Linked DNA regions of Arabidopsis thaliana. The protein of the gene in region 4 interacts with the protein of the main gene of each other region in a pairwise test. Each region holds a gene or a part of one and is shown on either strand. Other genes may lie near its edges. The genes, in order: ERF8, TOC1, TCP5 and TCP11.

Evidence for each region.
Region 1: the proteins of TCP11 (region 4) and ERF8 interact in binary tests that used the Arabidopsis thaliana proteins (3 or more experiments, as listed by UniProt).
Region 2: the proteins of TCP11 (region 4) and TOC1 interact in a two-hybrid assay, tested with the Arabidopsis thaliana proteins (one study listed by BioGRID).
Region 3: the proteins of TCP11 (region 4) and TCP5 interact in a two-hybrid assay, tested with the Arabidopsis thaliana proteins (2 studies listed by BioGRID).

What each region holds. Positions count from the first base shown.
Region 1 is NC_003070.9:19,819,343-19,826,289, forward strand, and holds ERF8 (ethylene response factor 8), read right to left. Parts: upstream 2,911-6,947; 5' UTR 2,755-2,910; coding exon 2,197-2,754; 3' UTR 1,995-2,196; downstream 1-1,994.
Region 2 is NC_003076.8:24,670,936-24,680,182, reverse strand, and holds TOC1 (CCT motif -containing response regulator protein), read right to left. Parts: upstream 5,221-9,247; 5' UTR 4,644-5,220; coding exon 4,511-4,643; intron 4,194-4,510; coding exon 4,032-4,193; intron 3,896-4,031; coding exon 3,762-3,895; intron 3,612-3,761; coding exon 3,444-3,611; intron 3,360-3,443; coding exon 3,206-3,359; intron 3,113-3,205; coding exon 2,007-3,112; 3' UTR 1,633-2,006; downstream 1-1,632. Other genes in the region: AT5G61390 (Polynucleotidyl transferase, ribonuclease H-like superfamily protein), read left to right, coding at 83-129, 226-289, 413-1,074, 1,147-1,381; AT5G61370 (Pentatricopeptide repeat (PPR) superfamily protein), read left to right, coding at 6,712-8,175; AT5G61360 (uncharacterized protein), read right to left, coding at 8,386-8,457, 8,572-9,132. UniProt on the Arabidopsis thaliana protein: Controls photoperiodic flowering response. Component of the circadian clock. Expression of several members of the ARR-like family is controlled by circadian rhythm.
Region 3 is NC_003076.8:24,533,042-24,540,730, forward strand, and holds TCP5 (TEOSINTE BRANCHED 1, cycloidea and PCF transcription factor 5), read right to left. Parts: upstream 4,204-7,689; 5' UTR 3,897-4,203; intron 3,667-3,896; 5' UTR 3,612-3,666; coding exon 2,529-3,611; 3' UTR 2,296-2,528; downstream 1-2,295.
Region 4 is NC_003076.8:2,676,331-2,683,704, reverse strand, and holds TCP11 (TCP family transcription factor), read right to left. Parts: upstream 3,305-7,374; 5' UTR 2,878-3,304; coding exon 2,158-2,877; 3' UTR 1,712-2,157; downstream 1-1,711. Other genes in the region: ATSTE14B (Isoprenylcysteine carboxyl methyltransferase (ICMT) family), read right to left, coding at 100-693; AT5G08320 (E2F-associated phosphoprotein), read right to left, coding at 5,102-5,357, 5,945-6,110, 6,522-6,552; AT5G08315 (Defensin-like (DEFL) family protein), read left to right, coding at 7,125-7,185, 7,341-7,374. UniProt on the Arabidopsis thaliana protein: Transcription factor involved in the regulation of the circadian clock. Acts as a repressor of CCA1 by binding to its promoter. No binding to the LHY promoter.

The DNA.
Region 1 (6,947 bases), on a different chromosome or scaffold from region 4:
GTATTTATAAAATTTTAAGTTTTTTTTTTTTTAATTGGCATTTTCTACCTTATTTTGGCCTTTTTAGTTTTATCTTTATTTTTCCTTCCTGGTTTTTTTTAGAGAGGAAGCATATTCTTAGTTGTATAATTAAGGGCTTGCCTTTTATCTGTGATAATATGTAATCACTCTTACCATTTCATTCATATACCAGTACTCATAATCATTATTTTTGTTTTTCTTTCTCTTAACTCTCTCATATGACAAAAGTCATCAATCTTTTGTTGTTAATTCTTCTACAAAAGTGGCAACTTGTGTGGTTCATGAATCAGACAACTCAATGCAGCTGTAAACTAAAAAAATTGACTAACAAGGGTTATTACCATGAGAGGACCTGTAGTGAGTCAAACATATGCTCAGGAATACCAGCTCGGTCTTGGTTTAGATGATTAAGTCCCAACCTGAGTATATCTTTCAATCGTTACTCTGGAAATAGCAACATACAAAGAAATAAATAGCAACCGTGACTCTCTTTCTCACAATATAAACTCAAAAGACTAAGGACCATTATTTTTGATGAAAAATTGAAAACTCAAGATCTTTAGTTTTGCTAAGTTTTCTATTTGAGGCCTAAACATAACAAGGAAATTTAGCAAAACAAAAGTTCTTGAGTTTTCATCCAAAATAAAAGGCCATCGCCCAATGGCAAAGTTTCTTTAGTCAACGAAAACATTTGTTTACGTACAAAATAAATAAAATTTGGGGTCACACTAAATCAGCATTTTTGTTTTCTCATTGGGTCACTGAAGCTTCACAGAGGACACGTATTCATTAAAGGTGATAATACAATGTATTATCCAATATACGTAGATGAGTAAGTGGTCCCTTTTTGGTCGGAGAAATGGTCAAAGAACGAAAGGACCTAGTATTTGTTTTCGTTATTTTACTAAAATCATACAGTCACAGTCACAGAGCTCATAAACAGAGGTTTGTGTAAACGCCGTTATCATAAACACCGCGCCAAACACCTCAGCCGACGTGTCGCAAACATTGTCCTGATGACGCCACACGTGGATCGGGCTTTCGGATCCTAGTATGGTAGCCTTCGGTCCAGCATTAAATTTGTAACGTAAAAAAGTTGCAATCGTCAATTGATATAAAACATCTACTTATGGGAGTGATCCATAGTTGTGCGTAGTGACATGACATGGGTGTATATTTGGTTGAGTGGGGCTAAATGTCGTTAAGATAAGGGCTTAATTGAAACTATTCAACTTTCTAGAGGCCCCAATTTTACATCCCTTTATTATAACCCTTAACACGATTTTGTACGCATGCATATATATATATTTTAAAACATACTAACTTCTTTAAAAAAATATGAAATAAGAATTTAAATTATGTTAAGCGTCCACGTGGTAACGATGACGATTCCAGCCGTTGGATCTGCGACCATAGAGCATAACTGTTTTATACGTTTTTTGATCACAAAGTTGGCGACAAGAATCAAAATCAAATCTCATCCTTCCTTTGTCTCTCATTATGAAGCCGCCGCTCTTCTTATCTTCAACTTCCTTAAAACATTTTTACCATTTCAAATCGAATACTATTCAACTTAAGCAAGACTCTTAACCATCTGTTAATAAATCATCGGAGTTAAAAGAGTTGATGCAAAACACAAAAGTCAAAAGTTAGAAAAGCAGTCCAAACTGTGAAAATGACGTAAGCGTAAAGAAGTATTCTTCTAACGTACGCCGCAGCCAGAGAAGATGGGTCCGGTCCTCCCACGATTGGTGCGTGTCTTCACGACACTTGGACCATTGTCTTTTCAAGCCGACGACGACGATACTCATCACTATATTTAGTCTTATAATAATAACATTACCATTCTTTATCTATTTCTTCTACACACGAGCCCCAAAAAGCTCTATAATACTTTATCTTTTCAATTACGAATTTACGATGATGCATTTCCTTGGCAAATACTAAAGAAAAAAAAAAAGCTTAAGATCCTCTTATGTTACGTCGATTTATAATAGGGTTTCATAATAATATATACATAACGACTTTTTTTTCACGGCAGCTAAAAATTATATTGGAGCTTTTCTACACTTTCTTCTAAAAAACGGATAATATTTTTTTCTTAGGCAGAAAAAAAAAGGAAACGTTATTTTTTTTTGTCTAAAGAAACGACATAAGAAAAAAAAAACTCACGGCCTATTCCGCCGGAGGAGCTAAGTTAAGATCCAGATCTAACGGCGGAGATATCTTCCCAGCTCCACCTTCGAAATCAACGACCGACGACGTTTCAGACTCGCTCTGGACACCACACGTCGTCATCTTTGGATACGTCGCCATGTTATAGTAGTAAACCGGATGCACAAGCGGGATCTTACGACGACACGCGCCGCCGCCGCCTAAGCTGAGCTCGAGGTGCGGAGGTGTTATAAACCGTGCCGCCGTGGGAGAGTCGACGACGGTGCTACTCTGAGTAGGACTACTACCAACGATAACACCGAAATTGGTCTTAGCCTTAACACCACGAAAGTCACGCGCGGCTGCGTCGTAAGCACGCGCCGCCTGCTGAGCGGTGTCGAACGTACCGAGCCAGACTCGAGTTTTCTTAACCGGATCTCGGATCTCAGCGGCGTATCTTCCCCATGGACGTTTCCTAACGCCTCTGTAACGAATCTCTTTGGCAGCATTACTCTCATGATGAGTCGGGTTCGTTGGAGCAACCGGGTCGGGTTTCAAACCCATGGTGATGTTGGGCATGGTGTAATTAGGAAGAAGAATGGAACGAGAAGATCGGTGAAAGAGTTTTGTGGTAACGAGAAGAAGTAGAAGAGCTTCTTTTTATAGGAGAGTAAAGCAACGCTCCTTTTGGGGAGCTTTCTTGTGAACAGTCAAAGCCATTTTGAGAGATGGTTTAATTATCTCTCTCTCATGCTTCTCTTATTTCATATAAAAACTGGTTTTTGTTATTATATCCACTTATGTTTTGCCACGTGTTCACTTCTCTTTCTCCAAAAGAATCTTATTTATTACCCTTTTTCACCTTTGTAACAAAGACTGCACAAATCACAATCTTATAAATTAAGTTACTGCCTATTAAGAATATAATATAATTTGGTTTTTGCTGCATTTATCCCTATTTAAACTAGGAACATATTTGTACTAAATCTATAAAACATGTTATATCGCCACTTTGCAATTTTAAGTAATTTTTCTTATTAAAGCAATGTAATATGCGGATTTAAATCTATATAATGACATAACAATAATACTAGTATACACTATTAAAGAGTGTTATTAGTTTGTGATTTAATTAAAGTTTTAGTAACTTAAAATATTATAAAGAATCTATTGTTATTCAATTAAAAAAATTTAAAATATTAAGATTTGTAAAAAATAATTTAAAATCTTGATAAATCTATAGTTATTGGATTTATACTTTTATAAAATTATTATAAATTTTATATTATTTAGCTAAAACAAAAGAATCTATAATTGTCAATGAATTAAATTATTGTGTTATTGGTTTATGATTTTCTACACTTTTTCCAAAATAAAGTTACGAAAAGTATCATTAAAAAAGAAAGATTGTTTGAGAAAATTTAGAAATTGTGAAAAACTAATCAACAAGATTATAGAAAACTCTATAATAATAGTTTAGAAACTTTCATTTCTTTACAATCTATGATTTTATCAGATTCTTGAATTTTTTTTAATTAATTAAGAACTAATAACACCCTTTTAAACTATATGTTTTAGTTAGGTCAAGATTTATATATATATATATATAATATAAACTATTGTGTGTGTATCTAGTAGAAAAAATATTCAAACAAAATTATCGAATTTGTAGTTATATATGTTGTTAACACATAAACAAAAAAAAAAAAATTTGTAAGAAAATATATAGCGAACAAAATTTCTGAATTTGTAAATTATATACCGTTACATATATATATCGTTAAAGTGTCGACAAAAAAATATTTCTTACTTTTCTGTTTGGTAAAAGTAAAAATTATTTGAAATTTGTAATTTAGCGGATGTTACCATGATGACAATATATAATTTAGCGGATGTTACCATGAAAGCTTATTTGGTATAAAGGGAATAGAATAAAAATTTGTACTTTAGTATACCGTTATTCCGTTATAAATGTCGTTAACGAGCCGACAAGAAAAAAAAAATCTATTATTTACATGCTTATATCTGGTGAAAAATAAATATTATCAAACAAAATGACCAAAATTTTATATTGTAGTGGATTTTATATATGACGATATCATGACGAACAACGCATATATACTATTTGTGTATTTATTTGGTAAACAAAATATTATCAAAATAAATTTTTAGATTTATAACTTAGTGAACTATTTTATATATCGTGTATATACAAAAAAGAAAGAGATATCTACTACTTGCATATGTACATTGGATTAAAAATGAACACCATCAAACAAATAGATTCGAATTTGTTAGTTCTGTGGAGAAAATATACGTTGTTACAGTGACGGAAAAAAATGTCGCTACAGTGACAACAATAAAAAGACAAATCTATTATTTACATGCATATTTGTTTTTGTTTTAAAGAATACTATGGAATATATATGTTGGCTTTTATAGTTTAAAAGACTTTTATATATGTTGTCTATCGTGTTACCAATGTATATATATGATTGTAGTTAGAGTAAAGTATAATATAATCTAGTCAAATAAACGCACAACAAAAACTTTTTTTTGCCAAATTCAAACTTAAATTGTAAAGTAATTTCTTGATTATCGCTCAAACCAAATGAGTATAATTTACAAAGCCAATGTCTTCAAAAAACATTTTGGCTAGACGGGCTAAAACATCTGATCTTAAATTCAATCGTCGAGGGATAAGAGAAAGGAGAAAAAAAAATCGTGAATGAAACATATCAATAAGATTGGAAAATACACTTTTCAGAATACTGTTATAACTTGATCAACTTAAAAATTCTGTCTCAAACTTTGAGGTGTTAGAATATTTACTAAACTTCTAAATCTAATATACTCAATAAGTTTTCAGTGTTATAAAGAATCTCTGGTATTTATAGAGTCAGTTTAGATAAAAACTGGATTCGAACAAGATTAAAGTTTTTGGAGCAAAACTGAAGGAAAAAAATACAAGAAATGAAGGTGTTGATCGATAGCTTCTATGTTGCATCAATCAACAGCCCGTTAGAGGCAAGACAAGTCAATTTATTTTGTTGAATAATTGATCGATATTTCATCATGCCAATTCCATTTTGTCGACAAAATCGATCGATACCATGAATGAGTATTGATCGACTGCCTCTTGAGCCTGACTAGGCCACCAAGACCTACTGTCGGCCTAATGATTGACATCTCTATTCATGTTGATTGGCATTCTTTAACCGAGAGTTTTGAGTCTCGTTTTGTCTTGAGTCTCCCTATTTTGACATATAACCAACCCAATTGATCGTTTTTTACATGCCTATTTGGTAAAAAGAAAAAGAATACTATCGAATACATTTGTTGTATTTTTTTTGTAGTTTAGAAGACTATTGTATGTCAACTACTGTTAAGTAATAAGTATAATCTAGTAGAATAGGAAGACTCCAAGGCAAAGCACATGTTTGTAACAGAAAAGGTTATAAAATTGAGTGATTAATCAATGCATCATAAGTTCCACACGGTGGAAACATACTATCACACAATGAATCCATTTATTTTCCTAATCTTGATTGTACTACCAAACAACCTATAAGACGATCTGCTATATAAAGTGCGTTAGTTTAGATGCCATCATACTCAAATGTTACGAACATTTTTTTTCTGAAGTGTTTTCTGATGGAAATAAATTGGCAACAACAAGCGAGAAATTAAAAGCTCTCCTCTCACAATTAAAGAGACGCAGATATTGGCATTAGAATCTGGAAAATTACGGACAACAACAACATCAACTTTAAATTTAATAACAACAACAAAGAATCAGCGGCGCATCAAAAAGCCGAGCGAGAATTCTTCAGAAACGTGGCACAATCACGAGGACGCGCGGCTCAGGAACCGCGTTTTAATGATAACGCGTGACGATCACGTAAGCCGTTTCGACAAAAGAGCGTTATAACGTTTTTCTTGACGGTGACATAAGCTAAAATCAGCCGCCCCTAACGCTAAAACCCAAAATCTCTACATTTTTTTATTCTGGATTCTCTTATGCCACGTGGATAATAAAGACACGTGGGACAAGATTAAAGGATGGAGACCCGCGTCGGTTAACCGCAAATTTAACGAAGGTGGGACCACCGTCAAGTCGATTCTTTTTCAGTTTCGTAAAGACGGAATTTAATTTGACGGCAGGAGAAGACCAAGACAGTGACGTCATTATCCATTTTATTACTTTCGTTCATTGTTTTTTGTTTTAAATTCTTTTCTTAACGACTTGGTCAACAGTCGACACTTCACACCTTACTTGTTGGATCTTTACGCCTTGATTAATGGATTGGTTATCTTTTGTGTGTGTCCACAGATTAAATTGGTAATTTACGAAAAGAAATAAACATCATCATCATTAGTCTGTGTTAATTATTCAAAATTACTTCTATGTCACGTTGAATTCAAAAAAGTTTTTTTTCGTTTCCTAAAAGCAAAACTAGTAAAACAATTTGATATTAATAATTAAACCTTTGAGAATTTCATGCCATAGCAAATTTAAATTACATACTATACTACAAACTGTATCTACATAATTAAATTATCGAACCAAAGAATATAATCTTTGTGAGTAACACCACGTGTTCGAAAAAGATTTTAAGAGAGATTTGGGGTTTAAATTTACACTCAACCGATAACTAGACCACACAAGTGTTTCTAGAGATTTGCTTCTCTACAAGTTTTATTTTAAAAGAAAAAAGTTACGGGAATATAAGAGCTAATTAATTATATGAGTGATAATACAAGATCCTTAA
Region 2 (9,247 bases), about 22 Mb from region 4:
TTTTGAATTTGCTTGATGGAATTCGAATTTGGCGGTTTTGATGGTTCCTTATTCTGTTTTCCTGTGGCCTTTGTTTGAACAGATGGCGACTTTGGCTACATACTTTGGACTTGGAAACCAGACGCATAGGTAATTTATATATGTGAGTTTTTTTGCATTACGGTGTTTTAATAGGCCGGTTGAGTTCTAATGCTTTGTACACTATGTTTATTTCTATCTCTTAAGGAGTCTGGACGATGTAAGGATGAACTTCGAGGTTCTCAAGTATTGTGCCACTGTTTTGTTCTTGGTATGCTCTCTTTACTTCTTCGAGATGGATTATCGTGTGTTGTGTGTACCTGTCGCTCTGTAGAATAGATTTTAGTGATGTAACTATGAGGAGCTAATTCAGAAACATGCCATTTTTCAACAGGAGTCAAGTCTTCCAGATGAACTTATAGAGAACTCGGTTACTACTACTACTCCTGAAACTAGTTCAAGAAGGCGTAGGACTATAAAAAAATCTCCTCTGCAATCTCCCACTGATCAGCAGACAGGAGAGAACATGACAACTATACCTATTTTATCATTTGTTTCATCCGCAGAAGCTCAAACGGATCCATTTGATATGAGCACTTTGAGGAACGAAATAGCCCCTGAAGTTCTTCAATCAGATGTTCCCATGGAAGAAGAACAAAATCAGCAGTCTGAGACTGTTGCCTCTGAAGGTACCGGTGACCAGGAAGGATTCATGGAGCTAGATAAAATATCTGTTTCAAGTATCAGAGCAACTCATGTCCCGCTATATGACGGGAGCCAAACAATGAAGCTGCAACTCTTCCTTGGGGACAGACCCCTTCAGCTCCATTGTCCTCGTCTGAAAGTACGGTTTGGAATCAATGGGAAATTTATGGATAAAGCTGGAAGACGGAGGTTGAACTTTGTAATTGATCTGTATCCAAGTCTCTGCAACGTACTTCAAGAATGCGACAGTGCTGCACAGACAATATCTGTTGATTCAGGCAGTGGTTCTGACTGGAACCCTCTAGTCATTCCAATGAAAGGATTTCTGAACTGTCCCACTGCAAGGATACAGTATGTTTTCCTATATATCTCCTTTACTTATTTCATTTGCTTTTTTTCCTGATTATTTCTTTGTATGTGCAGTATACCCACAGAGTTAAATGGAGATATAGATCGGTACGCAGCTGAGATACACCAGAAAGAGTTCTCTGGAGCTACTGCTACTCAGAAACTCATTTCTAGCAACCCCAAGGCTGAAGAGATTGAGTCTTTGTTGAATCCGAGAACTGTTCTTGACGCTTTCTTGTCTCTGGAGCCATATGATTATCAGCAGAGAGCCGGAATCCGTCTAGTTGCTAGAAAGCTTGTTATACATTAGTGGACCTTACTCAATAGCACCACAGAGAATTAAAGAAATCAGAGTTTAGTGGACTGTAGAGATTTATTTATGTAGTCATGAAAGAAACACAGAACTGTTGTTCCTGACAGTAGATATACAGCTGATTATGTTCTTAGTTTCAGATAACTTAAATCCAAATTTAGATTTTCATATGCTTCTTGTCTGTGACACAATTGCATTTGTATTGTGTTTTTCCGAGGAAAGACAGAAGCTTTAGTGGTGGAAGACATGGAGCGATTATATATAATTATATATGTAAACACAGGTGAGAGAGCGAGGGAAAAACAAGATTCAAGTAAATGATACTGGAAGGAGAAGAAAGGTTAATACATCTGAGTACTTACTGAGAGAATGTGAGTGAACATGATAAAATACATTATATGTTTATCAACGAACTAAGCTAAACCCAATGAGAGCTTTTCAATGCTCTGTCAAAAAGTTGAGCCGCAAGAGCCAACATTGCCTTAGAGACAACTCGATATTCGATGTTTTTTTGGCTGTAGCAGTATCATCTTTTTCGTGTCAGTCGATCAACATCTTCTGTTGTTTGATAAGATGCAAGCAAATACGTATAACACAACGGTTTTCAGTTCTTGGTGTATCTTCAAGTTCCCAAAGCATCATCCTGAGGAGATGAATCCCGGTTCTCCTCTTCTTCTTCTTCTTCCTCCTCTTCCTCGTCATCATAGTCAGCAGAGTCAGGCTGTCCATTTAAATCAACATTCACGCCGTTCATCTTCCTAACAAACTGACCCTTAACGCGGGGTCTCCTCTCAGCAAGGCGTTTCCTATTCACATACCTAATCTTCTTATCAAAACAACGTTGGTTCCTTTTACGTCTGAATTTCAGCAGAGCTTCCTCTCTTCTGTCAAGTTTATTTACCCTCACCTCATTAGAAGGCGGATTTCCTGCCGGTGACCAAGAATGATGAACCATAGACATCTGACCATTCTGTAAAGACATCTGACTATGCTGCAAAGATGTGTTCATTGGGTGGTGGTAGTAAGGATATCCCGTCATTCCATTCGGATGATTTGGTTGGCAATGAGGAATTTGATGACCATATTGAGGCATCATGGCTGCTGATTGCATCATAACTTGGTTCATGACCCCATGCATATAGTAAGGATAGGCATTTGGTGCAGAGAAACCCGATCCATCAACTTGAGACGAATCTTTACTTCTGTTCATAGCAACTTGGGGAATATTCATATTGCCCTCTTGGTAGTTCCTACCATGAGATTCCATTGATGTGGGAAGCGTGCGTGACCGCTCAAGGGAATGTGGATAGCTGGCGCCATTCTGCAAGGTCTCTCCTTGAGAATGGTATTGCTCGGTCCCTCTACTTCTGTGTGCTTGTTTGGTGTTGTTGATCCCTTCACTAGCCACCACTTGAAACTTTTCCGCCGCACCCCGATGAAGATGATGTGAGCCATTTCCATTGACAAGAGGAGGATCCTGACCGTTAGTTCTAAGGACAGTAGATTTTGGTGTTGCTCTGCGTGCTTGTTTGGTGTTGTTGATCCCTTCACTAGCCACCACTTGAAACTTCTCCGCCAAACCCCGATGAAGATGAAGTGAGCCATTTCCATCGACAAGAGGAGGATCCTGACCGTTAGTTCTAAGGACAGTAGATTTGACATATGTAAAGAAAGCAGAGGACTCTCCGATCTTCAATCTACTTTTCTTCGGTGCTGAAGAAAATTGCGCTGCAAAACCCCTACTATATTAGAATTCACTAAAACAAAGGTTCTTTTAGAGACTAGCTATTAGAAAGTGAGACATCAAAGAGAAACAATCACCTGGATTACTATTTCTTTTCATTGGCTCATGGTGAGACCCAGCAAGATGATCCAATGGAGGCTCTATAGCAGTAACAGCAAGAGAAGAAGTGGCTGTTCCATCAGCACCAAGACCACCATCACGAGCATGAACAGGAGCAGTAGCAACAGACCACTACCAGCAAAAGCATGAGCGCAAGCTAAAAAATCAGTTCTTCTCCATTTTCAGAGGGCTTTAAACTGTCAAATACTTTCTCACCTCATTTTCCTGGTGACTTAAATTTCCTCTCTGTGGGTTGGTGGACCTAAGACTTCTATCATCTGTGTCGTCAGAGAACAGGTTGGTACTATTTGTGTTTGGATCACTTTGATCAGATCCCACAAGATCAAAATCATAGCTCAACATATTCTTCTCAGCAAGTCCTAGCTGCCAAAACAAATATATGAAATCAATAGCATTAACTTCATGCATCAAGGTCTTTTATTTCAGAAGACGACAGATTGAGAGATATGGCTATCAAGTATTGCTCAAAAACAGTAAGATAAATAGAGAGAACTTGAGACAAGCAAAACAAACCATGCGTCTTCTTCTCCACATGTGTGTCCACAAGTTCAGAAGCTCGTTGGTGCGAAGAGGCTTCACAAGGTAGTCAGCTGCACCTAGCTTCAAGCACTTTACAACGACAGGGACTTCGTCTTGCCTCGACATCACTTAAATTGAGAATATTATAAGATTAGTCAGTATAAAGCTAATGATCATGCTGTCAAAAGCACTTTGATAAGCAGAGAAGATACAACTTCACGAATAGATAATAAAACGAGAAGAGCAACAAAGAACACAGCTTACTTATCACAGGGATTCTGCGAAGATCTTTGTCTCGTGTGATGTACCTCAGCATCTTCATACCCTTAGCCATTGGGAGATCAATTTCCGCCAGTATTATATCGATATCAGGTCCCTCTGCATTAAGTGCATCAATCACCTGCCTTGCTGATTTCACTGCAGTCACTGCATTCCAAAAAGAATAAAAACAATTCATCCAATATATCATCATTGAGTCTTGAACAACAAACAGTTGAGCATAGTGTAAAAATAGAAAGCAATACACACTAGAGATGCATTCAAAAACTATCAATAAGGTACTAAAATCAACAAAGGTTAAAAATGTCATCTTGATCACATCTGACCATACTGACTCAAAAAGCCAGACGACAAGAACCTATAAGAGATCTGCAATCTAAAGTAGTAATCCCAACTTAGCAAAAAATAACAAAGTAAAAAGAGAAACTTTGGGAACAAGACAAGGACAAACCTATAAATCATACCTTGATAAGAACACTCTGAAAGGAGAGTAAAAACCTCTCCCAAACTCGTGGAATCATTGTCACAAAGCAAAATCCTGACTCTGCTTCTATCAATAAACCCATCTCCTCCTTTACACTCACCGTTCAAATCCATGATCAGATTAACAACTAAACCCACACAAAAAAAATATCTAATCACAGAACCTAAGAAAAAAAAGGATTATACAAAAGTAGAAGAAGTAAAGCCGACAATAGTAAGTGCTATGATACTTCCATGGCCAAATCAGAACTAGGGTTTTTCGGTACAGTGTCCCTACAAAGTCGCCTAATTTATCCCCTTAACAAAGTCAAGTAATCTCACAACCAAACAAAAACTACTCTTTTAATCCCCCAACCTAATCCTTTATCCATAAGAACAAACAAAAAGATAAATCTAAGAACAAAGAGCTGAAATAGGAAATTCTTTTTTCTCTATATCGAATCATGAATCAACAAAAAAGCTCAACAAAAGTCACCGGAGATCCGGCGTAACGCCGGCGGTGAGATGAGGAGGAGAGAGAGAGAAGGTGAATTTCCGACAAGAAGAGTGAGAAGAGAAAGAAGACTCATTGTTTTGTTTTGTCAATCAATGGTCAAATTATGAGACGCGAAAAAGAGAGAGAGAGATGGTAAATCAGAGACCGTTGAAAGAGGATAGAATTGGACGGTGGAGATTAAGTCTTTTTCTTACGCGTTGTTGTGTAGCTTAATGGTGGGACTTGGGATATTTTAGGCCAAGGAGATGACGTGGACAATAAAAAGTGCAGGCCATAAAAAAAAAGGTTGTGTTGGATAGTTTGGTTGAGATAGAGAAAAGGCCACGTCATCTTGGAGAAAATATCTCATGATATTTATTTTTGTTTTTGATATTATTGTGGTAAGATACAAGATAAGAAGATGCATCTCCATATCAAAATCAACAAACATATCAAAAGGTCGACAGAAAGAAAAAATTGCAAATTCTTTTAAAATATATGACCAGATCAGACCAAACCATCAGAAACCAAATTTTAGGATTCGGCTTCGTTTCGTTTATTAAAATATATTTATAACAACAAGAAAATCTATTATCAGAATTTTATTTTTCTGTTATCTTTAGGTACTGAAGAATTAAAGATACAAACAAAATAAAAATAAAAAACGAAAGATACAGATATAGAAAATTTTACTTTTATTACATCTCAATTTCTCATCACAAAAGACTCCTAAAAATTATGATTCTTTCTAAAAGCACAGGGTTATAGATATAACACTCCTTTCATGGTTGTTATAGAGGACTTATTTAGGCATTATGATTCATTAACTTCTTAAAGTGATTGAAAAATCAAGCTAAATGATATGTTGTAACAAAGTTTCAAGTGTTTTTTTCTAATGTTATAAGTGTATGTGTGCAAATTGTCTTGTAAACAGGACATTAGCAAGATGAAATATTTACCTTCTTAGCAAAAAAGATGGTTAATCTCATCATCAGTGGTTGGGAAACAAATAATCAAGTTGTCATAATCATAAAAAGAGATAATTAGTAGGCTAAACTTTTATATAGAAAGTAAGTAGTCGACAAGCTAAAATATTTCGTATTACCGATTGGCTCATATTAGTAGCTGCGAATATCGTTAGTACAAGTGGACCAATAATGCATGATATATTCTCAACTTCATCCACCGTAAGACACGTTTTGTCCCGGTCCAACTTTTATTACGTTTTGCCATCGACCATTGACCAATAACTTGTTTATGACTTTATGATGTTAATTATTCGTGTAATTTCAGAACTATTTTATCGGGAGTTCGATTTTCCAATATGCATCGGCGGCCTTCGAGAGTAATCATTCCGGTTAGTGACTTATAAGTTATAACCATCGTATCTCACGATTATCGGTTTTATCCGGTTCTGAATTTGAAGCGTGATGGAATGTAAAAGACTAAAATGCCCTTTTCAGACACGCGGGCAATGTTTCCAACAAATGAATATATATTGTTGTTGAGCCGAGCGATCTCATGAAATCTGCAAATTTAGGTCTTTTAATAGAAATCTGAATTTCATGTTGCTGAAAGAATTTACAACGAAGTTGTAAATACTCTGAGAAACATGTAAGTCAGGAGAGAGTCCCTTCTATGGTTTATATTTGGCGGCTTTTAAGAAGCATACGCATATCAAGTGTTTGATGAAATTCCTCAGAGAAGATGATGTCCACCACAGTCAGATTAAACAGGTTTACGTATCTAACGAGTACTGCAAAACTGACACGTTACTTTTGCTCTCACCATTTAGTTGACCGATCGGAAACGGCGTTGCATGAAGTTATTCGGATAGTTTCTTCTCCAGTTGGTGGTCTAGATGACCTTGAAGAAAACTTGAACCAGGTTTCTGTTTCTCCATCATCAAACCTTGTTACCCAAGTGATTGAGTCTTGCAAGAACGAGACTTCACCGAGAAGGCTGTTGAGGTTTTTCTCCTGGTCGTGTAAAAGCTTGGGATCTAGTTTACACGACAAGGAATTCAACTATGTCCTAAGAGTTTTGGCTGAGAAGAAGGATCACACAGCTATGCAGATACTCTTATCAGATCTCAGGAAGGAGAATCGGGCGATGGACAAGCAAACGTTTAGCATTGTCGCTGAAACTCTGGTTAAGGTTGGTAAGGAAGAAGATGCAATAGGTATCTTCAAGATCTTGGACAAATTTTCTTGCCCACAAGATGGTTTCACTGTGACGGCTATTATAAGCGCTCTTTGTTCCAGAGGACATGTGAAGAGAGCATTGGGAGTTATGCATCATCACAAGGATGTAATATCCGGGAATGAATTGTCTGTGTATAGAAGTCTTTTATTCGGGTGGTCGGTACAAAGAAACGTGAAGGAAGCAAGAAGAGTTATACAAGATATGAAATCAGCAGGGATTACACCGGATTTGTTCTGTTTCAACTCGTTGCTGACCTGCCTTTGCGAAAGAAACGTGAATCGAAACCCGTCTGGGCTTGTTCCTGAAGCTTTGAATATTATGTTGGAGATGAGGTCTTACAAAATCCAACCTACGTCTATGAGTTACAACATTTTGCTCTCTTGTTTGGGAAGGACTAGGAGGGTGAGAGAGTCCTGCCAGATTTTAGAACAGATGAAAAGATCGGGATGTGATCCGGATACAGGGAGCTATTACTTCGTTGTGAGGGTCCTGTATTTGACAGGAAGGTTTGGTAAAGGCAACCAAATTGTGGATGAGATGATCGAGAGAGGATTTAGACCCGAACGCAAATTCTATTATGATCTGATCGGGGTTCTTTGTGGGGTCGAGCGGGTTAACTTTGCTCTTCAATTGTTTGAGAAGATGAAGAGAAGCTCAGTGGGTGGTTATGGTCAGGTTTATGATCTGCTCATACCAAAACTATGTAAAGGAGGAAACTTTGAGAAAGGAAGAGAGCTTTGGGAAGAGGCATTGTCAATTGATGTTACACTTAGTTGCTCCATTAGTTTGCTTGATCCATCTGTCACAGAGGTTTTCAAACCTATGAAGATGAAAGAAGAAGCTGCAATGGTGGATCGTCGTGCTCTTAACTTGAAGATTCACGCTAGAATGAACAAAACAAAGCCAAAACTGAAACTAAAACCGAAACGCAGGAGCAAGACAAAGAAGAAGAATCTGCAACATTGATTGATTTCTTCTACCCATTGTTAAGAACATCTGATATAGCAGGCAATGTATCACAAGAAACTCAAGTAAGATGTTCTGCTTTTTATGTATTAGTAGTAATGCAGAAGCAAAGGACATGAGATTCTTTTGTTGTTCTCTTTGTCCCATTGATTCTTATTACGAAAAATATGGGTTCTGAAGAATACAAAACAAGAGACAAGAATATTGTGATCAATTGGAATGTGTTATTTTTACAAGTAACTCGTTCATCTGAGTAATCTGATGCAAGAGTTGAGCTATTCTCTGCAGAAACACACAAATAAGAAACTTGTTAGTAACAATAGGTGTTTCATTGACATTTCGTCGAACACTTGGTAGGAATTATAAAAAAAACAGAGCAAGAATGAGAATACAAACCTCGTCTCTCTCTTTGATTGTATCTCTGAGATGAGCAGCGATGATTTCACCTTTTTCAAGTCGTCGGCGAGTTCGGTTACGCTTCCACCACCAAAGGAATATGACCATAACCGAATAAAATGACCGGAGAGTCTTTGAGAAGGAACAGAGACTATTTCTGGAGAAGCAGGTAACCAAATTCTGGAAATTTGACATTACTCGAGCGAGAAGAATCTTCCACCAACCTTGGATAATATCAATCTCAATTACGGATTTCCACGGAGATTTCCCGACATCTTCCGATGGCTGAGAATGCGATTTCCGGCTAAATTGAAATTGTTCGTCTGAATCGGACGGAGAGAAGGACGAATCTGAGAGTCTCGACGAGGAAGATGAAGAAGAGGATGATACCGACGGAGATTCGAGTCCGTTGACGTAGAGATTCTCGTGGTTGATCGGCGGGAAGATAGCGAGATCGTCCTTAGCGAAACAAGTCGATTCTCTAACGAAAACCATTGGAAACTGGGGCTCGTTTCTCAGATCCAAGTGTGTGATCCTCCTCTGTTCTTCACCTTCCACCATCTCTGGTTAAATTTTGAGTCGTTGGTTTGTTCCTGACAAAGGAACGATGGAGACTACCTGAAACTCCAAGTTTCAAATATCGGCACCATAGATGCTTTATCATGTAGATTCGTTC
Region 3 (7,689 bases), about 22 Mb from region 4:
CCATCTATATCTAAACACATGATTTAGAAAAGATCAAAAGGACCACCAAAAAGGAAAAATAAGTTATGTTTTCAAAACCAATAATTTACCAATGGAAGGTTAATGACCCTACAACTTGGAGAAGATGATAGAGAGAAGAGAGAGAGTTATTGAAAAAGAAAGAGAGAGAGAGAGAGGGATATGACTAATATTGGAAGATAGGGATCAGTGCTTGACTGCAATTCAGTTGCTGTCTTAACTGCTTCTCTTCTTTCCCTTTCCTTCTCTGACCCTCCAATCCCAATACTCACCATCATCTACTTAATTCTCCTTTTTCTTTACATATTTATTCTTATTTATTTGATTTTGGTGGTATTACGAATTTACTACCACGACCTCAAGGTTATAAGGAGGTTCCACTATTATATATATCATGTGTCAACATTATATATCCAATTATTTAGTAGAATAAGGAAATATATAGGGAGATAATCTATATATAGTCTACACTAGAGTTATATACGAATAAGAAGCATATTATTGACAATTTTTTTTTTTTTTTACTTTCTTACAATAATATGTGATATGAATCATAGGACCCAATAGATTAATAAATGAAGGATTATTTTTGTAGTATAATTTTTAAAAGACTGTATAAGTTTGTGAAAAAAGTTAAGTGTGGATACATGCATAACAGAAAAAAAAAAAAAAAAAAAAAGGAAGAGAATAACCAATAATAAGTTATAAGAATCAATTTGGAGTAACTAAGTTAGATTTTTCTCATGTTTAAAGTCAAGTTTGTTTGATAGCTTTGTTATTATTTCAAAAAATAACTAAACGGTGGAATAGATATGTGTAAGAAAAAATCTTAAAATTGTGTGAAAAAACATAGAACTTAGTTTGAAACAAAATGAATACAGTATTTAATTAAAGTGAGGAATTATTAAGAATATAACGAAAACGTTGAGAACTGTAAATAAGCATGTTGATCCGTATGATCACTCTTTTACATGCATATATCTCTGCATTGCTTTCGCCCTAAATATAATCTCTCTCCCGCCTCAAACACGTGAATGTGAATGAACTTATGAATATAATCATATCACATTTTATTAGCTCTCTTGTTGAAATCAGTTGTGTGTTGACTAAAGACTACCAGCGATTATTTTTGAACTTTGATATTTGAGAAATTGATGATCAAAAGTCAGCAAATACGGAGATGAGGAAACCGCTAGCTATTACAACTAATTTGCCTTACATACGTACTATTATTATATCTATATTCACAGTTTTTTTGGTAACCATCACTTTCTTAATTAGTACATATATACTCACATATGTATACATAGGTTATATATGCATGATTGTGGGAGTGACTCATATATACACACGAGTCTAGGGTTTTGGCATGCATTACATAATACATATTGCCGTGCTTCTAGGCATTGTGAACAGTAACCTATCTATACTTCTAAGTTCGTATCTCTATATATAAAGAATATATAATATATATGCATGGATATATATTTATGTTCTTATGAATACATTTCATAATTAATATGCCCGTACAAATATACGTAGTTATAAGAAAATGAATGATTGTGGACATAAAATTATTTGAAACTTATTGGTGTTTTTCTGACACATGACAAGCAACGACCCCTTCGATTTCTTTCATTTGCATTGTGAACAAACATGACTTTTCTATATACATTATTACATTGGCGGTAAAAATTTGTACTTTTGTAGTTAATTATAGATATATATATCAAAATTAATTTGTAGATACGATTATATCCAATTCAAGTCCTGACTATGTAATCATTGCATAATGATGATTAAGATAGATCATATCATATTTTGATTAAAAAAATTACATAATGTTTTTTCTTAGCAACATTGTGATGCCTATATATATATATATAATGGTGATTGGTGAAATGCTTTGAATCTGGTCATACGATGGTAGAATAGCATATGGGTTTCGATGGACCTATTTGGTTTAAAGTTGAATTAGGGTTATGTTAATACTCTTTTTTTCTTTTTCTTTTTCTGAATCTGTTTTTCCTCCATCCTATTTTGAAAAGTATTATTGTTCTTTGCGTTTTTATTCACTTTCTCACATTCGTGATAACAATAAAAAATTCCATATATGTAAAACCTAAATCCTAACATATGAAATATGATTAACTAATCTAGATTATGGATTAGGATGAAAGTGCTAGCTAGTTATGAGATACCTATATTGTACAATTCATTTATTCGAGTGTATATATTCATAAATGAATAGAGAAAGACATTCAAGTAGAATTCATATAATTTCTTAAGGAAGCAAAAACTACCTTCAAAACTAAAACATATATAGAAATAACAACCATCCTCGCATTATGAATGTCTTTGTTCGAATCTAAATCCGAGACTATTAAAAAGTGTATACATACACGAAGAAGATACATAAACCAATCCAACAATACGCATATATATCAAAATATAGAAGAATACGTATACATATAACATTTTCAATGTATAGTGTAGATATATAAAATCATTCAAGAATCTGATTCATTATCGCTACTATGATGATCCGTATCATGATTCGAGCTCATCAAATGATGAAATGGTCTAATCAAACTCGTATTACCCGGCATCATGTGTTGCTGCGATGCGGTATTTGAATTCGAGCTAAAGAGCTGAAGATGACCGGCTCCATCGACGACATGATGATGATGAGAAGCTCCAAGAAACGAAGGGTATGTCGGGAATAGAGAGCTCATTGCCGGAGGAGTAGGACCGAAAAAAAGCTGAGATCCATCTCCGGCAGACGAGGAAGGAGGATGCAAATTGAGATTATTGTTATTATTAGCAGCAACATTAGATATTGCGACAGTAACGTTATTACCAGATTGGTCTAACGATTGTTGAAGATGTCCAAGGTTGTAATAAGCTGAAGTGTTGTTGTACGGATTGGTCAGAGGAAATTGTTGTTGATGATTGGTGTTAAACCCTTGATGATCTTGATTACTATTCTCGTCGTTTTTGATCCATTTTCCTTTATCAAGATCAAAACTTTCTCTTTGGGTCGTAGTTGTATCGGTTAATCTTGCTCTTGTTCTTGAAGAACCACCAAGATCCCAATTTTCCAAGAACCCGAGATTGGTTCCTGGAAACGTTGTTGATGTAGTTGAAGATGGAGATTCTCCAAACCCGGAGTTTCCGAAGATGAGATTTGGATACATCTGGTTAAATCCATGTGGGAATTGTAGAGGAGGTAGCTTGTCTACGTCATCTTTTGCTGCTTCGAGTAACCAATCAATGACTTTGCTTGGCTGACTCAGCCCTAATCGATCTTGAAGGTCGTAGAGTTGAATAGCTGTAGGTACGGACAACCTTATCCTCCGGTCTCGAAGACCACGGACTGTACATACTTTGCTGTGTCTGTCTTTGCCACCGAATGTTCTTGAGACTCGAACGATTCTTGGATTCCTAAAAGCTGAAGTCCATTGCCTTGAAGATGATACCGAACTCGGCTGTTGTTGTTGCAACATGTGGTTTAAGTTTACTTGATGATTTTGATTTTGATCTCTTTCTTGCTTTGCTTGAATCTCCTCTTCATCACATTCTCCTGATCTCATCTCTTTAATTCACTCAACAAGATCTTCAGTACTCAATTTGGTGTAAAGAACAGATCTGAAACAAGAAGGGAATAAATTGACCAATTTAATAGAAAATAAATCAAGAAGACAAGAATTAGTTGTTGTTAGCTTTCAATTGAATGAAATTGTTGATTTTAAATATGTTTTTGGAGCGAGATTCACATGAAAACAAAGCAATAATATCTCTTTCTTGAGTTTGCATCAAAGAAAAGAAAGCTCATAAGAATTTGAAATTCAAACATGTTGAAGGTTATATGTTCTTACGTTGATTGAATACTGGTAAGCTTGAGTCCTATTTCAAGATCCAGCTTGATAGAGAAGTAGAAGAAGGAGGAAGAAGAAGAATAAGAAAGAGATAAGGAGGCAGAGGAATGTGTAGTATTTCTTTTTTTGGAAACTAGAATTACATATGTATATTATAATGATTGGGGAAGTTAAATAATAAATGAATTAGATATATTTTTAAGTATTATATTCCGATCCCTAGGGCTTTTTTTTTTCGGTATGAAAGGAATTTATGCAGAAGGACAAAAGAGGAGCAATTTATGTAGTGTATTGATACTGTGATGGGAATGTGCATGTTTCGTTACACTCACAGTCACATAAATCTTATATATATAAAACTTTACAATAGTTGACAAAAAAAAAACCTTTACAATAAATTTTAATATATTTTAGTATTCAAGTTTTGGTTCCCTTTCCTTGGTGTTAGACATTCATTTTGAATTTTATATGATTTAATTTTTACCCAAGTTTGTGATCTATGTTGTCTTCTTATCTTAAACAAAAATATAAACATACGGTTAAGGTCATTTAAGAGAAAGTGTACGGTTGACAAATTAATAGTTATAAATGGTAACAAGAGCTTTTAAAGTGAAAAAAAAATATAGTACATGTATAGTAAATTAATAATGGTAAAAGTGGTTTGAACTTTGAACTGTGAAACATATATATATACAAGATCGAGTTTGAAAGTTTTATGAAACCAAATTTTAGTAAATTCAAAAAAATTCATAATATAAACAAATGGAAAGACCAATTTATTTACAGTCGTCGCTCATTTCATTTGAGTTTCTGTCGTTTTGGAAAATGAAAAGTTTTATTTGTAGATAAATTGTTGAATTTCATTATTAACGAAGCAACTTGTTGAAACCCTAAATTTAGTGATAATGAAATGTAGACTTGTTAAAATCAAACTGTTGGGAATACTGCTTTTATTTCTAATTAACTACTTGTGGGTTATATTTTTAAGCATATATAGAAAATATCCATATATATAAATTTTTTGTTTTAATATCAACATATATAAGTAAATATAATAGAGATTGACAGCTAGAGGAGGTAAGGGTCTGTCTCTGAGATAGAGAATGGACCAACGAGTATAGGTTTTTCTTTAAAGCATCTAATGCCTAAATACTCACAAAGAGATTTGTGGTCCACTTCTCTTCTAAGTGTCTTTGCCACTGAGATTTTTGCCCACAATCACAAACCATTTTCTTTCCTCTTTGTATCCAACTTGATCACTACTATATATAAAGTCTTCTGTAATTGACCGCGCCTTTAACCCACACTGGTTGTTTACGAAGAATATTGAGTTACTGCATATATAGTACTGTACGGTTTCAAATTAAGAACTCTGGTTTTGATTATGTAATCTTGAGATGAAATTGACTGTAACAAAGTTACATTTGTAATTTTGCAAGAAAAAGTTTTGTATCAGTTTTTTGGTCCTCACTTAAATATGGGGAAAATATTAAATAAATATGAACCACTTATATATCGTATAATTTTAATGATCATATAAATTGTGGTAACTGTTCATCTCAAATCAAAGGTTCCATGGATTTCTTTTTCCACATCGGTTCCGTAGATTATCCAACACAATTTTAAGGCATTTTAAGATGATCACAACACAATGTCACAGATTATTTTAAGAAGGCGATTGGAAGCCTTCATTAAAGGCATTTCCAAGGATCTTTCCGGATATGGTGGTATATTTTAAACACAAATTATTCTTAGAGCGAGATAGACTTGTACATTTCATTTTTTTGGTACTGTGATAGACATGTACTAACTTTTATATAGATGGTGTCAGTGGTATATTGGTCTAACTAATATATGCTGCAACAATATTAATTATGATGTATGTTCATAAAACTTGTGGTGAAATTTATCACAACAATTTTTTTGTCCCAACAAAGAAGCTTGCCAAACCTACCCGTCGTCTAAAGCAGCCCACTACCAAAGCCGCCTTTAGTCATTGCTTGGTTGGTAACGTCTGTCAAAGCCAAAACCTTAATTTCTTTCAAAATTGATTTAACGTAAATTCAAGCTTAAGGAATAAGCTAGAAACTATTAACAAGATCATATTTTAGGGAATTTTGGGAATGTATGACAGGATTTGGCAACGAATTATGTGAATACAATTAAATTGTTCCTGCCTTTTATATATATACACATAATTTAACTTAATCATCATGTTGACAAAAAAACAACCGAATCATATATAGGGATGGATGATGATGACGACGACGACGACGTGACTTGAGCTTCTTGGCTTAATTTCCTCCGACTTTTGGATCATATATATATAGGATCTTGTGATCATTAGTTGTACAGAAAATACCAAATACGTTAAAATTGTATGTTTGTATACATGTAACATGTATGTATATGTTCGACACTTCTGACTTTAGGCTGAATTTATTTCAAAACTCTGCCAAATTGAAATTTCAGTCTGTTCAAATAAGTTCTCCATCTGCTTAAAAAAATATAAAAAATGAATAACCAGGTTGTTTTTCCTAAATAGATCTAGCTAGGCAATAGAAGCCCTAACTCACGGCTCACGCTGTAGATTAATTACGTCCTAATTTTAAGAATGTTTACATGTCCTATACTTTTCTTCAACATAATTACGATTTCTCTTTCTTACAGCGGAATTTAAATTGAATATTAACGACTTGTAAGGGAAAATGTTGTAGATGTAAAAAAAAAAAAAAAAAAATGTTGTAGATGTAGGAGAAGAAAACTGGTAGTAATTAGCATCATATCACCGAATAATAAAAATAAGGTTTCTCGCAGTTGACTATCCGTAAGAATTAGAAATACTTACTAATTTGTTTATTCCTACCAAATTTTCATTTGCAACCAAAAATATTTGTATATATGTGATTGATCCAAATTTCAGTTTTTTAGTTAGGGAATTGGACATTTTTGTCTTTTGATGTGGGAACACAGTTTCTTGCATCCAAACTCACAACATGTTGTTTTCTTTAAATCTTTAACCATCAAAGACATTTTAGGTCAATAAAAGCATCTTTGTTTTCTAATGTAAATTCATTCATTATATACTTTATCAAGGTTGAATAAAAAATCTTAAGAAAATATAGCTAACTAGTCCAGTACTCCTCCTAAACTTTTTTTTGTTGTTGCCAAATTTACTGGATTATGTGATCTAATAATATGAAACACTCTAAACAACAGAATCTCAATAATATTTATCAAAACGAAAATGATGGAACTGTGTGTATTTTTCCACAGAAATAAAAGAAAATAAGACAAGTTCGTGGTCTTAAGCTATCGCCATCAGAACGTGTACAGAGTCACACAAATCGGTCTATATACCAGAATTCTAACAAATGATCAAAAATATCCAAACTTGCATACTTGCGTTATGTGATATCAACGAATCATAACATCCACATCTCTCTTTTATTAATTCAACTACAAGAGAGAATCAAAACAAAAGAACGAAAACGGTGTCGTTCATTATCTAACAGTGAACACTACACGATAGCCTAAGAAGGTCTTCTTCTTTTTTTGTCTTTTGGTACTGAGCCGTCGTTTTCGGGTCTGAACGTCAGTAAATGCAGAAGGCTCATGCTGAGACAGACAGCGATATGTCCTTGTAAGAGACAACACCAAAAGGAGTAAAAACCACCAAAAAAAGTAAATTATTTAACCACATAAATACACTACACACACATCCATATATTTCTATACTTATATACATGCTGATGCTGACATTATGACTTACATACATAACTGCTTCTCTTTT
Region 4 (7,374 bases):
AACATTAACTGAAAACATGAGTAACAACATCTCTTTCATAATTTTCTATGTAAAAGGTAATCAAACAATGCTCGTATATGTTCACAATTGATCTAAGGATCAGTTTACAAAAGGAACACCAGAAGGAACTCTCTGCGCATACTCCACATACTGTCTCCCAAAAAATTGCTTCAAGTAATGCTCCTCATAAGGTATTCTCTCTGCAAAGAACCGCCACACCACAACCGCAAACGCAATCGCTGAAATTGGATTACAGAGCATTACTTGCGTTCCCACAGACCAAATGAGAAACCCGGAGTAACTCGGATGCCTCATGATTTGATACACTCCTTCTGTCACAAGCTTATGATGCTCCTCCCGGCGAATTTTTATAAGGTGTGTGAACGATCTACCTGCTGTGATTATCGCGGTTTTGCGAAGGATTTCTCCAAGTATGATCATTGTAAGACCGAAATTGCTGATCCACCAGTGTTGTTTCAGCCCCGGGAAGAAAACAATCTCGGCTATGTACTCGAGGACTGATATTAGCATTGCTAAAGCATAGTGTTTGCTGATTAAGAGTGAGCTTAAAGTTACTTTCGATGCTCCGTGAATGGCTATGGCGAGAATGTACTCCGATGTGTGGAAGAAGATTATCGCCAGGAACATTTGAGTTAACTGTCTGAACCCGGTGTCACTAAATATCTCTGTCATTGAGTCTTCACAAGATTACTTAGACCTGAAAAAACATGCGAGTAACAGACCCGAGAAGGTCAAAGAACATCATTAGCCAAAAGATGGGAAACAACAAGCATTCAAGTAAAATCCAATCCAACTCACTTCACCAAAGATTTTTTAAAACCAAATCACAGGAACACTAATGTCAATCAATGTAACAAATCTCACATTAATGTTCTTCTAACACTAAACTACAATGTTTCTTAATCCAACAATTGATCTATGACAAGCATTCAAAACACAGTTTTCACATGAGAATTGAAGATCTTACTCAAAGAATTACAAACAGATATGTATAGCTGATGAATAGTACGGGATTTTTTTCTATTCTGTCTATACTTACTAATACTAAAATTTCACGGAATCACAAAATTCTAATCACTAATTTCTTCAATTAGGCTTTTCGTCCTCGTTTTCTGTAACTCAACTGTCAAACCACGAGAAACGAAGAATTGAGCAGGAACCGTAAACGCTACGAAGATCTAAGACATACCCAGTTGAAATTGACGGCTGCTACGAGGGAAAATGCGAGAAAGACTGGAAATTTCGCAGAGGCTGACAGTGAGAATCGCGTGGACTTTGAAGGAGAGAAGCAAAGTCTACACCTTTACCCTTTATTCTTTGCTTGCTATAATCAAGGAATTACTTTTGTAAACACAGAGATCTCTTCTGTTCCGTCTGATCTTCCCCGATAAGAAAAGTCTTGTTTGAATCAAGGAGCTTCCGGTCAAAATCGATGAGAAGAAACGTTGCAGGATCACCGAAATTTCAAGAACCAGACTATTTTAGGGTTACCGGTTCGAGACGGTTTGATCCAATGGTCCCCTATCGGTTTGTTCCGGTTATAACTGATAACGATGAGTTAAATTGAAGTATTTCTTTTGTGTTTGAAGCTTACGATTATACTGCTCTGGATAGTGGATGGGCTTGTTATTAGTTTTAAAAGTTTTTGGTGGAACCTGAATTATCATCCGGACCGGCTCCGTTAACCCGAGTTCAAATTTGTTTCCTTTACTACGAAAGAGTAAATAGTGGGACAACTTCATTAACGAACGAACCATAATAGAATTCATGCTTAAAACTAACGGGACAACTTCAAATTTGTTTCTTTTGCTGTTTCTTTAGTTTTCTAAAGAGACTTGATTGAATGGCAATGATCACTAGTTAAACGACTTCTCTGTTTCGCTAGTAAAAACAGAGCTTTTATAGCGTTTTAGGTACAACAATCAATCAATCTCTCTCTCTTTCTATCACTCTCCGAAACAAATTAACGAGACCAAATATTCTTAAACCCTAAAACCCTAATCAAACAAGCAATAAGCTTAAATTAAGTAAAAAAGGAGCAAAAGAAACCGCAAATTAGAGGTACTTTCTAAACACTTTCGATGACATAAAACATAGGAATTTTTCTATACATTACCAAAAAGACAATACCATTTCTCAACGTGGTTCGTGGTCGTCTTCCCTCCGACCCGACCCGTTAGCTCCACCAGACAAAGAAGCAAGCAAATTGAGATGATGACCCGGAAGATAATTCCCAACTCTAGCTGCTGAAGCCTCACCCATTGCAGCTGCTGCGGCGGCGGAAGCTTGCTGTTGCTGCTGGTGGCGGACGAAGAGTGTAGCTGGTTGCTGCTGCTGCGCAAAAACCATTTCCGGTGGAGCTCCGGTTGCAAAGCTCCAGACTTGTCCGAAATCCGGCCTCGCCGGAACAGCCCAAAACCCACCAGAACCACCACCACCCATTAACGAAGTCCCCATTGTGTGTCCCACTGTTAACCCTCCTCCTCCTCCGCCGCCGGATTCTCCTTCCTCCGCTCTGACGACACGTTTCCCGAGAGTAAACGGAGAAGAAGTGGAGAGAGAAGCAGTGGAGAAACTCGCCGGAGTAGTGCCAGTTCCAGTGGCGGCTATGATAGAAGGCTCAGCTTGACGGAGAAGCCACTCTATGGTTTGACCATCGGACTTGTGACCTAACTCTCTGGTCAATTGAAAAACTCGAGCTGCGCAAATGATTGGCATACGAATCCTTCTTCCTCTTCCGTCAACTTTGCTGTGTCGATCTTTAGACGGTGGTTTCTTAACGGCGTTAAGAGGTCCTTTGTTTGACGTCTGCTCGACTATGATGCCGTTACTCACTGCTCCGTCGTTGTCGGCCATGGAATTAGGATTTCGTTATCACTATCTAACTCTCTCTCGAGGAGAAGAAGAAGAAGAAGAAGAAGAAGGAGGTAATGATTTGAGAGGAAGCTAGGCTGGTGGAGACAGGAAGGAGAGCACATGGCTGGTGGGGTCCCACACAGCTCACTTCTGCTAGGTTTTTTTAATTTGTCCGGACGCGGTTGAAGCTCACGCGCTTGACTCCGGTGTTGACTATAGCGTTGGACCACGGTCGGGCAGGAGAATTTAAGTTTTTAGGTTTAGGAGTTAGTTGGGGTCCCCATTTATATGGTTGCTTGAATTACATTAGCTAATTTACGAGTAATTAGGATTCGTAGAAAATAAGTAGCGTTACAAGAATAATATGAATTCGATTTTGGTTTTTACTAATTCTTATTACTTCTGTGACATGTAACCACAACAATGCTGATTTTTACCTTTATTTCTTATCGATAAAATTTGTTTTAGAATGAAGTAGTATATGTTTTATGCTTTGTAACCACAGTAATCATACACGTTTACCTCATGAGTTTAATGCATTTTATAGGATGTAGGGAAATTAGATTGCAATTAAGACAAAAGCTGTTTCCAGTTTCCACAATAGTTGAAAAGATGAGGAATAAGAGACAATCAATGGTGGTAATTGATTGGTGAGTATACTTTACACCTACACTGATTACGATTCTATTTTGTACGATTTTAATTTATTTATTTTTAGTCATTTATAATTTCACATCTACTAATTTGTGATTGTCTCTTATTTTTTATTTTTTATTTAACTTCTAGGATAAATAAATAGCTCAAATAAAAGAAATGACAATTACGCGCTTTATGACACAGGTTACTAATCTGAGTATAACCCAACCACTGTGACCCCCACACGATATGCGTTCGTGTGTGCAATTTGTATAATCAAAATTCTTATTACCCATTAAGCAATAATAAAACAAATCATTCCATTTGGAGCGTGGCATAATAAAAGTAGCCGTGCCCACCTGGCAGATATGCCGATTTTGATATGTCGTTGCGTCGAGATTTTTTAAATTGTTTCGCGACAATAATTTCTTTCATGATGAATATATAATGCACATTATACTATATTATCGTCTTAATATTTGTTATATGATTGTGAAATCCTTTAACAGAAATAATTGTTATGATGATTGCCGTACCCATACGATACAACCATGAGTGATGTTTAAATGCCTTTTTTTAAAAACTATACCCAAGCCAACTTCTTAAAGTTGTCGATATAATACGTGAAGGTGCTATCAAAAGCGATGAAAAGAATATTTTTGTGCATGCTTAAAGTATGATAGATAGTAAAAACTTGAAACTACGACGCACAGCTGAGGAACCACCAAACTAGAGACTCGTAGAGAAATTTTAGTCACATTTCGTAGCTACTTGCTAGGATTCAATTGAACTAGCTAGTTCTTAAAAGAAAACGTTGCCACAAAAGCTTACATACAAATTGTATGATACAATTGACAATTATTAATGACCGGCGCATGTTAAAAGTTATATTGAGTGATTAACTGGGATTTGAATGATTAGTTGTGGGGTTAGCTGGATAAATGCATAGAAATTTTTAATGATCACCAATTTACCAAAAATGCTTATAGTATATTCTAATCTTTTTATTTTATTTTAAAATAGTAATATGTGTACGAATCATTTGACAATTGTCAAATGTGTTAAACAGCTGGAGCCCATTCTCATCTGCCTTTATTTATTAATGGGAATTTGTATAGAATTATTAGTATGGGGGTTGGTGGACGAAAATACAAGAAAGTGACACTTCTGTCAAAAGAGAATCAACTCGTGTTTCATACAAATATCTTCTTTTCTAGTTTTCTCATTTGGCGATGCCTCTCTAGATTTTCTTAGCTTACTCCACCAATCAGAATAATCCACGTCATCTCGTTTTTTTAAACTGAGAGGATCGCTTTATCTTCTGCCATCTATTTGACTAGCGTGACTAAAAGACGTTCAGAGACCAACTCGCTTTGTAGTTTGTTGTATTTGGTATTTGTTTGATACTAAATTACTAATCATGTGAACTGTGAACGATTCTGACTTTGGTATAACTCAAAATTCTCTAGTGACTTGATTTTTATCAAACGATATACATGCAACGTAAAGATTAACGCAAACAATCGAAACTTTAATCCTAATCACCTGTTTAGAACTCGTTACAAATAACTCATAAAACCAGGTTGTTTTAAGGCTCGCTTGGAATGACATTAAAGAAATGGTAGATCTCTTCACTGTCAACTACTCCGATCTCTGTGGAACAAGCTGAGCAAAAGACCGGGTTAACTTTTTCGCTATCTTCAGAACCAGTTTCTTGCATCTCGGAATCTCTCCTTCTTTTACCAACCTTTAAGGGCATTGTATTCTGTTGCAAAACTGTGTCTGTACCTACTTTGCAATTGACCACAAAGACTGCTCTGTACTGTGTCACATACTGCTCGTGCCTGCAAAAGTTTTACTCAGATTGTCTTAATTTGGTTCCGCAGTTTATAATACTAAAACCAAGTTCAAAGAAGTGCAAAGGGATCAAGTCATAAACAAAACAATATCATCGGATTGAAGAGGAAAGAAAGAAATCCATTGTGATAAAGTCCTTATATTAGTCTATCGCATGAGTGTTGTAATAGCCTAGGCGGTGTGTAGTGGATAGTAGTTGTATCAGCAATCTTTGAGTTAGTTAGCTACAGAGCTAGCAGCTAGAAAAGGTAGTTCTGGATTTACCTATGGGTTTTGGGATTGGGAATTGGACTGAGAGTAGAAATTTTTCTCGTTAATCAAGTCATATAACTGGTTTGGATTCTACCAAGATTGTCATTCCTAACAAAAACCTAGAGCCTGTAACAATTGTCAAGAATCTCATAATCAAGTCAACATTCCAGAATCTAGCAAGTTACTATCAATATATTAGCAAACACATTGGTGAGGATTGAACAATGGAGCCCTAGCAACATTGAGAAAGCAAAGCCTGGATGGGATATAACAATCGTATGAAGATAAAACACCAAGTTCTGATGTTGAGAGAGGAAAATACCTCTGACACTCTAAGCAGACAGTGGTGAAACAAGCTGGACAGCTAAGAAGAGCATCAGAAGTACGACCATCTCTCTTCTTATCCATCCAAAGCTCATCTTTATCATCAATATCTGAATCATAGAACTCCGGTTTGATGGAGTAATCAACTTCCTCGTCATCCGAAACTGTTACAAGGTAGTAGACAAGAAGAAGTTAGGCCTCATCAAATCAATATACAGAAAATAGACATACTTGTCCTTCTGATTCCACATTATTACAAAATAACTTGAAATCTAAACTTGAACACAAGAACACAAATCTCTTGAATACTGAAGAAACAACTTCTCTTTTCGCAATCTATGGCATCAATTAGCTTACGAATAGCAACATCAATTACACCATAAAGATTCAGAAACTTAGCTAAATACTAAATAGCTCAAGGTCTCAATACGATGGATGACAAAAAAAGCAAAAGAGAGATCATATTAACCGAAACCTATGAGAAATCCATGGATGAAGGAACGAAACAACAAAGGGATTGAGTCGAATCGGCCAGCGAGTGAAAGGGTTTGAGCGTATTAAAGGTTTTATTTTACCTGTTTTCTGTGAATTGGTCGGAGAAGCCATGGTTTTAAGATTCGATCTTCACTGCTAGTGTAATATACGACAGCTCTTGGTTAAGCTTAGCTCAGCGTCGAGCTCCGACGGTGCAGTCAAATCGGAGGTTCACCGACGAAGACGATGACAAACTTCGTTTTATATAACTTACAGTGGCTTCTAATTGGGCTTACAAATTGTTCAGATGGAAAGATATATGGGCCTTAAGAAATTAAGAAGCCCATTTCGTAAAAATCAGTATTTAATTTTAGCCTTTAAGGTGTTTTGTTATTTGCAACAAGAAGAAGTTGTCTGTACAACAGAGCATGAAGGGGTTTGAATTTTCCAATAGACTAAATAAAACGTTACCATAGAATTACCAAAAACAAGTTTAAACGGATACCATCGTATCTTCACAATCAATCAAAGAATACATTCATATCCTTGAATATATCAATCCTCTAATTATGTATATTCATATATTTACATTAATTGTGATTAGTTACCTCTACGTGTATATAAACATCTCATTGTATTATAATAAAATCATCACTTTCACAATCATCTATAAACACTTATAAAAAAAAAAAAAACTATTAACAATGGCTGGTTTGAAAGTTTTTTCCTTTGCTTTGCTCCTTATTCTCACTTTCTCACTTATTGGTACGTATTCTCTCTTATAATTAGGGGTATTTTCTCAAGTTTTTACACTCTAACAAACTTATTTTTGTGTTTCAATACAAACTTATTACTTTAATTACAAAATTCCATGAATTCATATTAGACAAAACTGTTTCAATTCTTTGTGATATTGGCAGATGTTGAAGGATATAATGTAGAGAATGGTGGTTC